Linked DNA regions of Alligator mississippiensis. The protein of the gene in region 3 interacts with the protein of the main gene of each other region in a pairwise test. Links are inferred from orthologs where the notes say so. Each region holds a gene or a part of one and is shown on either strand. Other genes may lie near its edges.

Region 1 (5,376 bases), on a different chromosome or scaffold from region 3:
CAAAACCAGAAGAGGAGCACTGTTATTTTTTTAAACCAGTAGTTCTCAACTTTTTTGGACTTGGGCACCCCTCACTGGCTTTGAGGCACCCCTCCACAATTTTGTGATTTAAATAGCACCCAGTTTAAAAAAACCTAAATGTATGTATAGCATTACCTCCTTGCAGAGGGGCCAGGCAGTAAGGGTGGAGGATTGGTCAGGCAAGGACAACCTGAGCCTCTGTTTATCTGCTCACACTACAAGTAGCCCTTCAAAACGATCTGGCACGACTCCAGCAGACTACCTGGTTGAAATTGCTTTAAGCTTTTTCAGAGTTGCATACTACTATCACTGAAAATGATTGTACTAATTGCAATTATGTTGAAGTATGACAGATTTTTAAAAGACTTCCTCCCCCACTTTTGTTTTTTTCCCCCATGCAACCCAAATAATCCTGAAATAATTAAAAACTCTCCAGAACTGAAGAAGGAATCCAGCAGCTTCAAAAGGTTAGGTGTCACAAAATGAAACTAGTCACTAAAGCTAACCTTTCACATTATATACTTCAAACATGAAAGTATCAGGCATAAACTACTTACAAATACTATCTTGAGATACACAGAGAAGAATGGAAACACCATCTTTTTCTTGTGCTGTACATGAAAGCCTTCAATGCTTCCCATCAGTGTCTTTGATTTGGTCTAAAAGTGACAGTATATGCTTCCGAGAGTGGAGCAGACCCAAGGACAGATTTTTAAGAGGGGTTTAGATACAGAGGCATTTTTCTAAAGCACTTAACTATGCTCAGAAAATCTGGCCTAAGTTAAAAGGGGTAACCCTGCCACAGTAGCTCAGAACATGACCTACACTATTAAATAATTATGAATTCAGTCTGAGCTGTTGCATTTCAGTCTATATCCTTTCATGTGTTAATAATTTTAACAAAAATAATTATTATGCAAGCTCAAAGTGAAAGACATTTTAAATTGACTTGTAAAATGTCCATAGCTATTTAGGCCTTAAAGAAAGAAGCAGCTACCCAAACTGGAGGAGAAAGAATTGAATATTAGTAAGAAGTTATGGCTTAAGTCAGTATATTCACTCAGATTCCTAGAGAAGGCTGGGTTGAATGCAATCTAGGGACACTTCCTTAGTGACTTTAAAACTTTTAAGTACATGTAAATATGGCTGCCTGCTTTTGCCTACTCTCCTTACTGTAAGGAAATACAAATGCACCCAAATAAATAAATGTTCAAGACTGACAAGTAAGCAGGTAAACCAGAGACAACAAAAAGTTAAACCTAACATAAGCTTAACATGCCACATGTGCAGTGCTCCAGTTCTCCTGACAAAGACATGACTTTATGCAGTAACATTTAAAAGTATGACATATGGGAAATAGCAACGGAGTGTCAACCCTGCAATCAAGGTCTTTACTTCACTCGTGCTTACTTTCCAGCTTCAATGTTATGCTAATCATTTTAAATTAACTAATTAAAATTAATTAATTTGCAAAAACTCTGCATGTAGACAATATTTCAGGTTATTGAATGTATCTCATTAGTGGTCATAACACATGCAGCAAGGTTTTGCAAACAAAAAAAAGCATAAGCCTATTTAAAAACCTCATGTTTCAAAACTCACTTAAGAAGTACAAGTTGTACTATCATCACAGAGCTCGTCTCTTATTAGAATTAAGGTGTGGTGGTTAACATACTTTTAATCCTAGTCAAACTGAACCCATGATGTCCAGCATTCCTGTCTCCTACCCCAAGGAACATCAGCTTTTCCTTCAGTCTGGGACCCCGACTGCTTTTGACCAGGTAACCCTTAACAGAAGAACATCCAGGGGCAGATGCATGAGGCAAAAATCTCTGTTAAAGTACATCTGTGGATAGCTTCTTGATTCAGCCTTTAAGGAGTCATGGGGCTTCTTCCAAACTTGGCAGATTCCCAAATGTCAATGAGAAGTTAATACCACTTGCAAGCAGGTACTGCACTTCCACAGTAATGCTGACCCTAGGATCTGCAGCTGCACAAGACCCCAAGGCAAAAGACACAGTCCACAGGTTTTCCAGGGGGCAACGTACGTCATTCCAGCCTCTCCACTCCCTTTTTGTTTATCCAGTCTCTGTATGCAGCTCCTTTCCAGACCCTGAACATACTGAGCATTCCCAGCAGGGTCTGAAGCATGTACTAGTGGTGTAGAAGCACACCATAACAACCTAGAGCAGCAACACTTGGAGACTGCATTACAGACAGACATAAAATCATTAGTGGTTATGAGAAATACTCAATTAATTGTTTAGGAACAAGAAAGAGCACAGACCTATTTTAAACAAGTAGGGAGATTCTGGACATTCACTGACAAATGCAGCTTTGGATGCTTATAAGGGTTATTTTGATTTGCCTCAATTCATACAACTGCATTCCCACACAACCTAATTTAAAAAACTTACTCCAGAGGTGGATCACTTCATTTAAAGACACCAATTTAAAAAACACACAAACAAGCGGTGTTAATGCTTAACATTACAGAAAAAAAGGTTGGGTTTTCAATGCCTTTTGTGAGCTGCCAGTACCACCAGTTTGCACATGCCAGGCATAAAGAGGAAGCCAGATTTCAAAGAGACAAAAAACAAAAACAAAAAAACCCCAAAACACTTGCAATTTGACTCCTGGGCAGGAAAAGTACTTTCCAATCCACCAAAGGACATGCAGTTCTGAGCTGAAAGCATCCCACCATGACCCAGTCTATAATGTCTAGAGGGGAACAGAGCTTTGAAAAGAAAATTGACAGCGCAGTTTGCAGCACGAGTTCGAACGGACAAGACGCAATCTCCAGGGGCCAGAGAGGCAGATCCTGACCAGCCAACATCCAGCCTGTACTTAACCACCGCTACACTTCTTAAAAAGAGAGAGAAAAAAAGAAACACAACAAGAAAACCAACGCCAGCAAAGCTGGGCAGGCCACACAGCTCCTCTCACGGAGGGGGGGGGGGGGGCGGCAGGTTGTGTGTCAGTCCTGCCTGGGGCCCAAGCACTGTCCCATCTCAAACCTGTTCACACAACACCCAAAAAGCATTACAGGTCACAGACCAATTGCTGAAGAATAATAAAGTAAAATGATCAAATAAAGTAAACTAAAAGAATATAAAATAAATCAAGCAAGAGGAGGCGAGCAGAGGGGTGGGCTGAGCAGGCCCTGCCAAACGAGCGAGGCGCGGATGCAGAGCCCATCGCCGACTTGCTTGGAGAGCCGCAGCGCCCCCCGTCGAACCGGGGTGGGGGGGGGGGCAGCCCAGAGGGAGGGGGACTATGCCCGCGCCCATCCGCGGGCCCGGGGCTCGGACGGGGGGAGGGGGCGAAGGGGGGGAACGCTGCACCTGCGCGCACGGGGTCCGCCCCTCCCCCCGCGTAGACACTAGCGCGCCTGGAGCGCGGCCAGCCGTGGGGCCGGTCAACGGCCGCAGGCGCCCTCGAGGAACCCCTGCTCCCTCCGCCTCCCGCTCCGCGCGCGACCCCCTTCCGAGCCCCCGCCTCACCGTGGCCGAGCGGGCGGGGGTGGTCGCCCCGCGTGGCCCCCGCCTCCTCCGCTACCCGCCGAATGCAGTGAGCAACACCCAGCGCAGCCCCCCGTCCCTGACCTACTTTCCGCCTGGCTTGCCACCGAACGTCGCACCACTAACCTACTTTCCAGCCAATGGCTGCTCCCCCCCGCCCGAGCCCGAACGCGCCTCTCGGCCAATGCGCAAGCCGCTTGCCCCAGCTCCGCGCCCAATCGCGGCCGGGCCTCGGCGCTCCCCCGCCGGCCAATCCGGACCCCCCTTTGCGGAACGACAGCCAATCATAAACGGTTCTTGGGGTTGAACTCCCGCCTCGCGGAGCCGGGAGGGCGGAGCAGCTGTCTGGGTTTACGCACGCGACGCTGAGGAGCGAGGGGACCCGGATGGATCCCTCCGCCCCGCCTGGGGGCGCCATGGTGGGAGCCCCCCTTCCGCGCGTCTTAAGTCCAACGCACTGTTGCCATGACCACTGGTAACTCCGTCATTGCCTCCCTGCGCGATGTAATGTCATCCTCCCTGCTACGTCACCGTCGCGTGCCGCGGGGTAGTTCGAATACGTCACGCTGCCACTCCCTGCTCTTGCGAGGCAGTGCCACAGGACGTCATAATCTTGCCCGGGGGTGTTACATCATCCTTTCACGTCATAACAGCTCCGTGACCTCTCCCTGTTCTGCACCGTGGAGTCACTAATGGTCCATCATGGCCTTGCACTGTGATGGGGGAGCTCGTACCCGCAGACCAGTGCAGTGTGGTCGTGGCAGGCTGATGCCTTGTGACAGAGCAGCATCACTGCCTCCTGGTGTCACACCTGGTTGCCACTGGGAAGCTCCATCGTTCCACCATATAGTCATGAAAAGTTGTTGCATCCTGATTGGGGTCGCCAGCTCTGTTTGAATCCATCCCAGCAGTTTTCCAGAATGCCAACGTGCCTGCGACACACAACGCAAATGTGCCTGTCTGCTTGCATATATCAATTACAGATTACAGTGTGGAGACTTTATATCAGGGGGCAAATTCACATTACTATTACATTTTAAAAACCTACTGGACTGCTGTATAAATCTGATTCAACATTTAATATGTATTTTAACAAATGCCCTATTATTTATCTCCGGGTGGCTCTCAGCAGTCTTCTGGAGATTTATATTTAATTCTTGGAGACTCCAGGGCAATCCAGGAGGGTTGGCAACCCTAATCCTGATGCAGTGTTGTCATTTATACAGCATCTAAAGCGCAAAGCCACTCGCTGCTCCAGTTCATAGTCTGAATTTAAACATGCTCCAAGTCATTTAAAACAATAGCATCATCGCCACAACTGTGGCTCATTAAGGGGACCCACTGCAAGGCAGACAGTTGCAATAGTGTTGCATTTCCATGCTGTGTCACATCCAGTTTGCACTGTAGTGCCGTTATACCAAATAATCAACGGTACATCATTTCAACACCTTATCGTGCATATCCTGTCACACCACATCCTATCACTATATCAAAAGTTTGTCTGACATTAATTTGCATCACATCACATCACATCACTAAATTTGAATTGCAACATTACCTCAGCGTCATTATTGTTATTTCCACTTGACAAAGAACATATTTTTCATGGCAACATCAACGCCTGCTTTCTATGATTTTGGTTTGAAGAGTTTGCAACCTTGCCTACAAGTGGCTTATAAGAGGATTCAGAATTCCCCTGGTTAAAATCAGGATGATCTTATACAAGTGGTAACCCTGCAACAGGATAAGTAGTAAAAAAAGATATACCAACATACAAGTAAGCCCTGTAGATAGGGACATGGGGAGAGCCACTGTTGTGGGAGCTGAGGGAATA
Region 2 (5,376 bases), on a different chromosome or scaffold from region 3:
AGGGCTGTGGACCAGCCACTCTCACCCTGGCGAGCTGGGGGTGGGGGGAGCGGGCAGGGAGAGCTGGGACACCTGGGTTCCCAGTCCAGGTTGGTGGGTGGGAGTTGGGACCCCTGGGGGAGTGGGGGGCTGGGGCCTGGATGCCTGAGGGGGCGGGGAGGGCAGTTGGGGGAGGTCCTGGCTGCCTGCCCTGGGGAGGAAGTCGGGGCCAGGACTCCTGAGTCCCTGGAGTTGGGGGCCTAGGTCGCGCGGGGGGAGGGGGTGTGATGAGGCCTGGACACCTGGATCGTGCGCGTCGGGGGAGCTGGTGCCCGGGCTAGGGGGAGGGGGGGGGCGGACGCCTGAGCTCTCGAGTGCGGCCCGCCTCCGCCACGCGCAAACCTAGACACCCGAGGGGCCACTTCCGCCCCCAGCTTCCGCTTCCGTTTCCACCCCTGCTTCGTGGCCGCGTGAGCAGGGCCGCACGTGTCCCCACCACCTGCCCCGCGGGCCAATCGGCGGCCGGGGGCGGGGCCCCAGCGGGCCCGGGCCAATGGGCGGCGGGCTGAGGCGGGGCCTGCTCACGCGAGCTCCTGCATGCTGCTCGGCACCGGCCAATGGGGGCGAAGGGGGCGAAGCCAACGGCCGCCCCGGGATTCGGCCAATGAGCGCCGAGGGGGGAGGGGTCGGCGCGCGGTGGCGGCCAATGAGGGCGCGGGGGGATGCAGGGGGTGAAGCTAAGCTCCATATGACGGCAGGGCTACTACCTTCGGACTGAGCGGGGCCACGTGTGGGCCTCATTTCCCAGGGGACAGGGCCTCCTTACCTAGTGGGGGGCGGGGCTCCACGTGAGGGGGCGGGGCCAACCGGCGGTGGGGGGTGGGTCTCTGGGTTCCTGGACTGGAGGGGGGGCGGTGCCGGGAGCCCCGCTTACGTCACCGGGGGGCAAGGGGGCCGGCGGCTCTGACGTCATCGCTCTTCCCCCCCCGCCCCCCAGGTGTCCGGGGTCCCAGCCCCGCCGAAAACCCAGGCATCCGCGCTCCCTCCCGAGAGCCGTGGCCGGGGTGCGGGCTCAGCGCCCGGCGCTGTACGTGGCGCGTCCAGTTCCCACGGCAGCAGCGCACACAGTAGGGCAGAGGGCGCGGGCCGTGGCCTTCCACGTGCCGCCCCCCGCCCCGCCCCGCCCCGATGTTCCAGCCCTGGCTGGGACACCCTGTCCCGGCACCGCCGGCGGGGCAGGGCAGGGCAGGGCCGGCCAGGGCACGACGCCCGCCCGCGCCTCCGCTGGGCCAGCCCGCGCGACCCCTCGGCCTGCGCTGTGCCGGCCTATGTGAGCCCTGGGGCTGTGGGGCGCTGGGGGTCCTGATGTCCCCCCACACCCCGTGTCCCACATCGGGATCACGTCCCAGGTCGGGAACAAATTAGCACGCGGGGCAGGGCGCCAGGAGGGAGCGGCTGCGGTTGGCGCGGCCACGCCGGGAACACGATGTTCTTGGCACCCGCAGCGGCGGTGCGCGAACAGGCCCTGGCGCCGTGCCCGCCCGCCCGCCGCCCCGCCCCGCCCCGCCCCGCGCAGCCGCCAGCCAGGCTCGGCCGCGCACCAGGGCCCCGGCGAGGGGCCGGGCCCAGTGCTTAGAGCCGGGGAGGCGTACAGCCAAATGCTTAGAGCCGGGGGGGGGTGCACCCAGTGGTTAGAGCCGGGGGGGGGGGTGCACCCAGTGGTTAGAGCGGGGGGGGTGCACCCAGTGGTTAGAGCCGGGGGGGGGGGTGCACCCAGTGGTTAGAGCGGGGGGGGTGCAACCCAGTGGTTGGGGGGGGGTGGGTGCATCCGAGTGGTTAGAGCGGGGCGGGGGGGGGTGCAACCTGGGGGGTGGGCGAGGACCCAGCGGAAGCAGCAGCCCCCCCTCGCTGCCATGCCAACGCCTGGCATCAGCAGCAACCCCCCCCCCCCTCGTCTTTCCTCAATGACGCTGGGCTCATTGCTATGCAACCTGCCCCTCTCCCATTGGCCGCCGGCTCAGCCAATGAGGGCGGCCCCGAGACCTGGGGCGGCAGCACCACAGTCCACGTGCGGCCTGTGTAAGTGGTGCTGACATCAGCCTGGCGTTACACAACGCGGGGGCCAGCGTCGCACCCGCCGCCTGCTCGCCTCACTGCACCCGTCGCTCCCTTGGCGCAAGGACGCTCGGGCCCCGACTCCGCCACCCCCGCGCTCGTCTGAGCCCCCCGGCCCCTGCCGCGGCCCCCGAGCCAGAGGCCATCCACCGCTGAGGCCCCCGGACCTGGGGACACCGTGCCTGCCTTGTGGACCCTGCTCCGGTGCCCTGTAACAGGGCACCGTGCTGGTGCTACGTGTCCGGGACCCCTGAGGAGGCAGCCCCGCGCTCAGGGCCCCCGAGGACACCCACTCCCTCCACACCTGGGACCCCCAAAGAATCAGCTCCATTCCCATGTGACCAGGACCCCCGAGGACGCAGCTCCATCCCTGTGTGACGGGACCCCCCAGGACACACCCCCTCACAGCCGGGACCCCCGAAGAATCGGCTCCATCCCTGTGTGACGGGATCCCTGAGGAAACCCCCGCACCTGGGACTGCTGAGGACTCAGCTCCGGCCTCGTGTGACAGGCCCCTGGGGACACCTGCATCCCGGACCCCCACCTCCATCTCTGTGTGACCGGACCCCTGGGGACACAGCCCCACACCTGGGACCTCTGAGGACACCCCCCTGCCCCCAGGACACCAAGGACCATCCCCGTGTGACGGGACCCCTGAGGACATCCCGCCCACCTGGGACCCCCGAAGAATCATCTCCATCCCCGTGCACTCAGGCCCCCCCCGCGGACACTGCTCCAGCCCTGTGACCCCCGGAGAGGCAGCGCCAACCTCTGGGCCAGCCCCGAGAGCACCCCGTGAGTATCCCGGGTGCCTCAGCACCACCCCCCTTGCGCCCGCGGCGGGGGATGACACACGCCTGTTTGTTCCTGGGTACAGGATGTTCTTTCGGCGCAGACCCAGCCTTCCGCGTTGCTCTGTTTGCTGCCTGCGGTTGGGGCGGGGGAGGAGGTGGGGAGGTGGGGCGGCCGCCCAGCCCAAGGGATTGGGGCACGCTCAGGTCCTGCTGGCTGAGTTTGGGGGCTCTGCTGCCTTGCTGGGCAGGAGCCCGTCACTTTGCGGGGGGGTTTCCAGGTTGGCACCAGCAGCAGGATGTGCCCCCCCCCCGTGCTACCCAAGCTAGTGGCCTTGTCCTCTGCCTCTCATGCCTGTCTTGCTTTGTACATGCTTCTCACACGCATGTTGGGGGTGGGGGGGGGTTAGTGCTGAAGCAAGAGCCTGGCCACAGGTTGGGGCTGGCTGGCGAGTGAGCGGGGGGCGTGTAGTGGTGTGGATGCATGTGCATGGGCTTTCATGAGGCATGTCCCTGGGGTCTGGCTGCATGCAGGGAACTCCCCCCCACCCGGCTTGTGGACAGCTGGGACTCTCTGTGTATACATTGGTAGGGCCCCCTCCCCCCAGTGTCTTCGTCCATGTCAGCAGGGGTCTTGGTCTCTGTGTACACACTGGCAGGGTTCCCCCACCCCATCTGTGTGCATCAGCAGGGCCTTCTGCCCTTTGTGTACGTGCTGCAGGGGCCCCTGATCTTTGAGTATGTGTCAGCAGGGGCCCCTGGTTTCTGTGTATGCATCAGTAGGGGGCCCCAGTGTCTGTGCATGACAGGGATCCCCAGTCTCTGTGTACGGGTCAGTAGGGTCCCCCCTATATCTGTGTGCATGTCAGCAGGGGCCCACGGTGTCTGTACCTGTCAGGTGTCCCCAGTGTCTTTGTACATGTCAGCAGGCTCTCCCGCCCTTGTCTGTGTGCATGTCAGCAGGGGCCCCCCAGTCTCTGGGTCTCTGATGGCAGGGGCCCCCAGTGTCTGTGTGCATGTCAGCAGGGCCTCTGATCTCTGTGTACATCCTGGCACAGGCCCCCCAGTCTCTCGTGTTTGTGCCAGCAGGCCCCCGCCCCAGCGTCTCTGCATGTCAGCAGGGTCCCTGGTCTCTAGGTCTCTGCTGGCAGGGCCCCCCCGTCTTTGTGTATGCGCCAGCAGGACTCCCCCTGGTCTCTGCATATGATTTGGCAGGGACCCTGTAAGGCCCCCCCGTCTCGGCATCTGTGCCTGCAGGGCCCCCTCCGGTCTCCGAGCCTATGTCTTTCTGTGTGCCCGGGCCTGGAGTCACGTCTCTCCAACGGCCCCGCGTGCGTGTGCGTGGGTAGGGTCCCTGTGCACACTGTTGGCAGGGCCGGCCCCGCCCCCCCCGGTCTGTAGAGACACTGGCAGGGCCATGCCCATGTGTGTGCTGGTACCGATCCTCCTCTTCCTCCTCCTCCTGGTCCTGGCAAAAGCTGCCCCAGGGTTTTCCTGTCCCCGGCACCCTGCCAGCCCCTTCCTGCTTCGCTTCACACGCCCAGGCTGCAGGACCCAGGCCAGGCCAGTCAAAGGGGCAGGGTGGGGGCAGGGAGCTCTTGGCAGCAGGACAGGGGTGGGGGGGCAACCCCTGGGCAGAGGGCTGAGCCCCACAGGCAGTGCAGGGAGCTAACAATAGCCCGGCTTTGCGCTCAGAATAGCCATCTCGAGGGTAATTAGGGAGCTGGGGTGGGGGGAGGGGGGCACAATCCAGATGGTCCTGGCCACGTGGTGCCCACCTGGCTTAGGGCCAAGGGGCTGCACGTGCCACACCATGAGGAGGGACCGGACGCCTGGTTCTCTGGCTGCATGTGTTAAAGTGGACATGGAGGGAGGGGAGTCAAGACGCCTGGGTTTTCTTCTGGGAGGGGTCTGCGGGGTGGGGGCTGAGGGGGTTTGAGCCAGGACTCCTGGGTTCTCTGCCAGACTCCCTCCACCGTGTGGGGACTTGTTGGGCCATCCTGGGACCTGCTCCATGTACAAGCACCGCATGGGGAACAGCCGGGCACCTCTCCCAGCCTCAGTTTCCCCTGCCCTGACCCTGCTCCCTGTCTTGCAGGTGCCCCAGACTCTTGGCTTGCCTGCACCCACCCAGAGGTGACACCGCCCGCATCTCGCCCCCTGCTTTCTCCCTGTGCCGGTGGGGTGGCAATGCCCCGGGGCGCCTGTCAAACATGAGCAGCAACTGCGAGCCAGGCCAGGGCCCCTTTGAGGGCAGAGGTGTGGCAGCGGTGGGGCCGGGGACCGGGCGGCCCCGGGGCCAGGCCAACGATGACATGGACGCCAACAGCAATGGGTCCAGCGGCAACGAGTCGCATGGCGACAGCTCCCTGCGCAGCGACCACAGCAGCAGCGGCAACGGCAAGGATTCGGCCCTGATTGAGACCACTGAGAGCAACAAGAGGTACGGGGCTGCGCCAGGGCTGGGGGGTCGGGGGGGGGCCTGACTCCT
Region 3 (5,376 bases):
TTTCTAACCAAAGGCGACAGAAATGAAACTTGAGTCACCAGTCCAGTTATTTTTAAGAAGAAAACTTGGTTACACAGCTCTCCTCAAATTAAGAACCTCCCTCAATTCAATTCTAAAGTCACATTAAAGGAAAATTACATTGTAATTACATTGTAAAGTCACAGCAGAAAACTAAATTAAGGAAAGTATTACACTTCAGCTACTGCGGGTGCATCAGCTCTTAGTTTTCCAGAGATGGGTTTTTCACCCATACAATATCCTTGCCCACATAAATATAAGTAGAGAAACAGGCTGTCAGCCAGTATCCACAGAGTTCAGTTGCTCAGTTTTCAATTTCAGTTGGTAAATGATAGCTACACAAGCTGGAAAGGCCATTTTTATAAATTTTGTGCATGCTCAATTTTTGGAAGTCTCCAAAAATGTATATGCAAATGAGGCCCAGGGCACCTGGTCTGGCTCCACTTGATGGAGTGGGGGCCCACACTAATCACGTACGAGAGGATGAGAGAGGAGGCAACAGGGATTCTGGGTGAACCATTTGGGAATGTCTACCAGACACTTAAGGCAGGTGAAGAAACAGAAATCATTGGAAATAGAAAAGAAAGGCACAACTCAGTGTGGGAGTCAAGTAGAAGTTGACATGTATACAATGCAGTAGCTTATCATGAGTTGAAAGAGTCGGCACTGGGGGGGACTGCACCCAATGGGCACTACCACACATCTGATTTGGAGAAGTTGCACTAACCTATCCTTGCAGTAGATTCTATCAGTGTGTTTACCCAAAGTAGGCCATGTATTTTATAGTCATGCTCAGCATTGGCTGCATTTAATCAACTTTATATCTGGTTTACTGAGCATGTGCTGCTGTGAGCAGCAGTTTAATGATAGACGGTGTGTTTAATGCAGTTTCCTTGTAAGTGAGATTTCTCTAGTGGCTTTTCTCCCCATGCTGATTGGGGGAAAAAACTGTCTTATATTTGAGTAAATAAAATATATGAAACTCACTGTGGTAAACTAAAGTCTGTTCCGAATAAAAGCAGTCTCTTGATAGGAGGATATAGCTGTTACTTTAAGAAACTTAAATTTAAAAAATCCATAGTACAGAACTACAAAGCATATCACATGGATTATGAGCATTCAAGTTCAAACTGTTTCAAAGAAGGTGCTGCTCTGTATATAGAACAAGTTTGTTGGAAAGATGAAGGATTAGTAGAGTAGATAAGGTTCCTTAAAATAAAAAGAAATGTTGCTTCTTTTTCAACCTTCTCCCTTTTAGATCTCTTCAGTACACGCATAAACTGCCCCCCCCCCCCCGTTTTTTACGTCATCAAGGTTAATTTTGGTAGGTACATGTAAATATTACAACTTGAGAATCATTTATTATAACATTTGTCAAACAACCAAAGGACATTAGCATTAGTATTAAAAAGTCTACACTTTCTTTAGCCAAGTCCACTGAGTTAAACACTTGGTCCTGGGTCACTGGATTCTGGTGTGCTGACTTCCTAGAGACTAAAACTTGCCAAGCAGAAGTATGCCACAATCTGCTTTTTCTGGGTATTATGTATATCCAAAGGCTTAACAGTGTTTGTACTACCTCAGAGTTTAGGGTACGTACAGCACTGTGAAGCCTGACTTGCCCTCTGCTTCTAAATCTGCCCCAGTGGCCAACAGACAGGATGATTACAAGGCAAGGTACCATTGTCTTTTAAAAGTCTGGCAGCAACACATGTATTTCATTCAAAGAACCGAATCACTTATAAAGCCATAAGATTTGTAATTCAATTAGAAAGCACTTGCTCAAAAAATGCCTGTAAAGTGACTGAAGCTGATCTTGCTTAGATTAAGGGAAGTGTCCAAAAACAACTGGCTTTAGGTCTTACAGTTGTTAGTTTGGTGGTGTATTAACCATTAAAATGAAGGATCATGGGAAAGGTTTATTTTTCTACCATCAAGACTACAGACATGACCAGAGGGAGCAGAAGTTTACAACTTCCACATGTTTTTAAAAGTTAGCTTGTTAGCGAAAGATATCCTTGAAGACACTAAATCCAGAAGCCTCAAGTTCTTTCAACTGTGTCACACATTTGACTTTGGGTAGGTCCCTTCACCTCTATGCACTTCACTTCTGTCTTTTGTGAAGTGCAATAACGTTATTACCACATGTCTAATCCTGCAGAAGCTCATTTTTTTTAGTATTCAACTAACCCCATGCTTGGAGCCAATGCATGGACAGAGCTGCATGAACATCAATGCATCAAGTTCCCCTCCTCAGGAGGGCAACAGGAAAAAAAAAACAAGCCAACCTTTAGAGACAGCTATGGAAGTGCAGAGGTGGCTCTCAATCTTATTTTACTTTGTTGAAGACACAGAGGCAGAACAAATGTAAGTAACGCTTTGTACTGCCTCTCTCCCTCACTTGATCTTTGATCCGGCTGCCAGTCTCTGCTCCACCCGACTGAGCTCTGCCCCTTGCTGGGCTCAGGAAGTGCAGAGCTGAAAGTCCCCCTGCCAATACCAAACCCGGCCGCTGAGGGATCGCACCCGACCCGTCCACGCGCTCAGTCCGTGCAAAGATATCCCCATTTAGACTTGCGGCATCCCCGGCTCCGGCCCCGGCCCATGCGCGACCCCCCCGCCGCCGGGAGGCCGATGGCGGCTCCGGCCCCGAGGAGACCCCGGGCAGGCGCGGACCCGCTCCCGAGCAGCGATTGCTGCACATCTCAGCGCCCACAAGCCGCTTCTGCGGGCGGCCGGCGGGATTTCCCCTCCCCCCCCCACGTGGGTGGATCAGCAGCCGCCGGCCGAGGCAGGGGACGGGCAGGCTCCTGTGCTGTGGGCTGCTGTCACGGCCCGGGGGCTGCCATCCCCCCCTCCCCGCTTTTGGCACAGCGGGCCCTGCAGTGACTCACACACACACACACACACACGTACACGCACACACACATATGCGCGCGCAGTGGGGCGATGTCACCGCCGGTCCCCGGAGCCGCAGGCCGGGAAGGAAGCGTCGCGCGGGGCCCGAGGAGCAGCCATGGGTCAGGGTGCCCCCTCCCCGCCCGCACTCACCGCCACCGGTTGATGCCCACGTTGGAGGACCCCGCGAACCAGGGGTCGAGGATGTAAACGCAGCGCACGGTGTCGGCGCCCTGGATGCACTCACGCAGCGCCGGGTTGTCGTGCAGCCGCAGCCCCTTGCGGAACCAGTGCACCGCGTTCACCCCCATGGCAGGCCCGGGCAGGGATCCCCTCAGACGGGGCCGCGCCTCACGCCGGCAGCGGCAGGCGACAGGGGCCGCATCTCCTCGCAACAGCCCCCGCGCGGGGGTCGCTCGCGCAGAGCCCCGCCCCCTCTTTCAGCAGCACAACGGCCGGTCACGCGCAGGCGGCGGCTGGTGGTGTGCGCGGGACCCTGCAGCTCGCGCCGCTCGCCCTGTACCCGTGCGCCCGATCTGCGCCGGCGGCCAAGCCCCGTCCCCGCTTCCCCATTGGCTGCCGCCGCCCCACGTGACCCCCGGCCATCACGTTTCTCGAGTGTGTTTACTACCCGGAGTGTGGGGGGAGAAGCAAAGAGGAGGAGGGCAGGAGAAGAGGGCGGGCAGCTCGGCGTGGCGCCGAGGGCCGGTAGCCACTGAGACGCGAGCAATGTAGCGAGGCCGTGCCTCGACCGCCCCCGAGGCAAAGCTTCCTGGATGGAAAAAGGAGGGAACGGAGTGAAACAGGGAGGGGGGGGCTTTCGGGCTTGGCCCCGCCCCCTACCAGAAGCCCGGATGAGCACGGGGCTTCGAGGCGTCGGAGCTGCTGCTTGTGCCCATGCGCCAGAGCCGCGGCGCGCCGGCACTTGTGGTTGGTTGAGGGGGTGGAGCGAATGCCATGCGTATCGAAGGGGGGGGGCTTGCACGCATGCGCAGTCTCCCCCTCTTCTGCGGACGTGGCGGGGCGGGTGAGGCCCACGCAAGCGCTTACATAATTGCGCGGCAGGCCCCGCCCCTTTCTCAGCACAGCCCTGCGGCCGCGTGCGACTCCGCGTGCTCGCTCCCCCAATGTGCGGGGGAGAAAAGGTGTGCGGGGGCGTGGCGATGTAACCCGCGAGCTAGACTTCCCCGTCTGCCCCTGCCCCCTTTAATCCGGACCCGGTACATCTGGTGCCGGCTGACCCAGTTCCCGTGCCCTTCACGGGGAGGGCGGGACAGCCGGGAATAACGGGGGAGGGCTAGGGCCGGGTGCTGCTGTGTTCCCACAGCCGGCGCAGGGAGGCAGGAGCGAGTTGGGCTCCGTGGTTGTCAACGTTTTTTCGTTTGCAGAGCCCCTGAGAAACTATAAATGGGGGGCAGCCCCCTTTGGGACTCTGCTGCGGGTGTAGGGGACATAAGTAGATAATTACTGACGCACTTTTAAAAATAATAAGAAAAAGCATACCACGTTGTGAGCTCACCCTTTTGTCCTCGGTTCTAGTGAGATGGTTGAGCTGCTTGGCAAGAAAGCATGTGAAGGTTTGATAGGGGAGGTAGATGGGATCTCTTTCATTAGACTGACTCAATAGTTGCAGGGGGAGGGGAGTTCTTTGCCATCTTTTGGGCACAGACACCCTTCTTCAGGCTTCTGTAGATTTGGGAGACTCTGCTCTCTGTGCTCAGCAAAGGGGGTTTGTGCCCGAAAGTTTGTCAAGAACTTTCTTCCAAATAGTCTACAAAGGATGAAGGACTAGATCCACCACCAAGGAGGAATACTCTGCTCTGGTCCAGACCTGCAGAGAGCAGACCAGCAAAGCCAAGGCTGCATGAAACTCCAGCTATCTACAAGTATCAAGGACAATAAAAAGTCCTTTTTTAGATACGTGGGGAGCTGGAGGAAAAGCAAGGGAACATTGGACCCCTGTTGAACCAGATCAGACAACTGACAACCAGTGCCCAGGAAAAAGCAAACTTGCTAAATGGGTACTTTGCGTCAGTTTTTCACCAGTCCCATGGGACACCCCTGCCCACTGTGAGTCAGGGAAGCCCGGGTGAGGGAGATTCGTTGCCCTCCATCAATGCTGACCTCATGAAGGAACACCTTGAGAGGCCGGACACCTTCACATCAGCTGGCCCTGACAATCTACACCCCAGGATACTCAAGGAGCTGGCGAGTGTCATAGCCCAGCCCCTGGCACGGATCTTCTAGAACTCCTGGCACTCTGGTGAAGTGCCTGAAGATTTGAAGAAGGCCAATGTGCTGCCTATCTTTAAGAAAGGGAGGAAAGTGGATCTGGCAAACTATAGGCCCATCAGCCTGACCTCTACCCTGGGAAAGGTCTTGGAAAAGATTATCAAAGAGGCCATCCTTAACAGACTGGCTGACGGCAACATGATGGCTCAAGGATCTGTCCTAGGGCCT

What was found.
Region 1: the proteins of CRY1 (region 3) and BMAL1 interact in a two-hybrid assay, tested with the Homo sapiens proteins (3 studies listed by BioGRID, with this or other methods). The link is inferred for Alligator mississippiensis from reciprocal best matches to the Homo sapiens genes CRY1 and BMAL1.
Region 2: the proteins of CRY1 (region 3) and PER1 interact in binary tests that used the Homo sapiens proteins (3 or more experiments, as listed by UniProt). The link is inferred for Alligator mississippiensis from reciprocal best matches to the Homo sapiens genes CRY1 and PER1.

The regions. Positions count from the first base shown.
Region 1 is NC_081825.1:201,880,624-201,885,999, reverse strand, and holds the start of BMAL1 (basic helix-loop-helix ARNT-like protein 1), read right to left. Parts: upstream 3,688-5,376; 5' UTR 3,669-3,687; exon of another isoform or gene 3,631-3,668; intron 3,625-3,630; exon of another isoform or gene 3,525-3,624; intron 1-3,524. UniProt on the Homo sapiens protein: Transcriptional activator which forms a core component of the circadian clock.
Region 2 is NC_081838.1:25,072,627-25,078,002, forward strand, and holds the start of PER1 (period circadian protein homolog 1), read left to right. Parts: upstream 1-1,955; 5' UTR 1,956-2,889; intron 2,890-4,983; 5' UTR 4,984-5,098; coding exon 5,099-5,328; intron 5,329-5,376. UniProt on the Homo sapiens protein: Transcriptional repressor which forms a core component of the circadian clock.
Region 3 is NC_081827.1:104,109,107-104,114,482, forward strand, and holds the start of CRY1 (cryptochrome-1), read right to left. Parts: upstream 3,472-5,376; 5' UTR 3,228-3,471; coding exon 3,070-3,227; intron 1-3,069.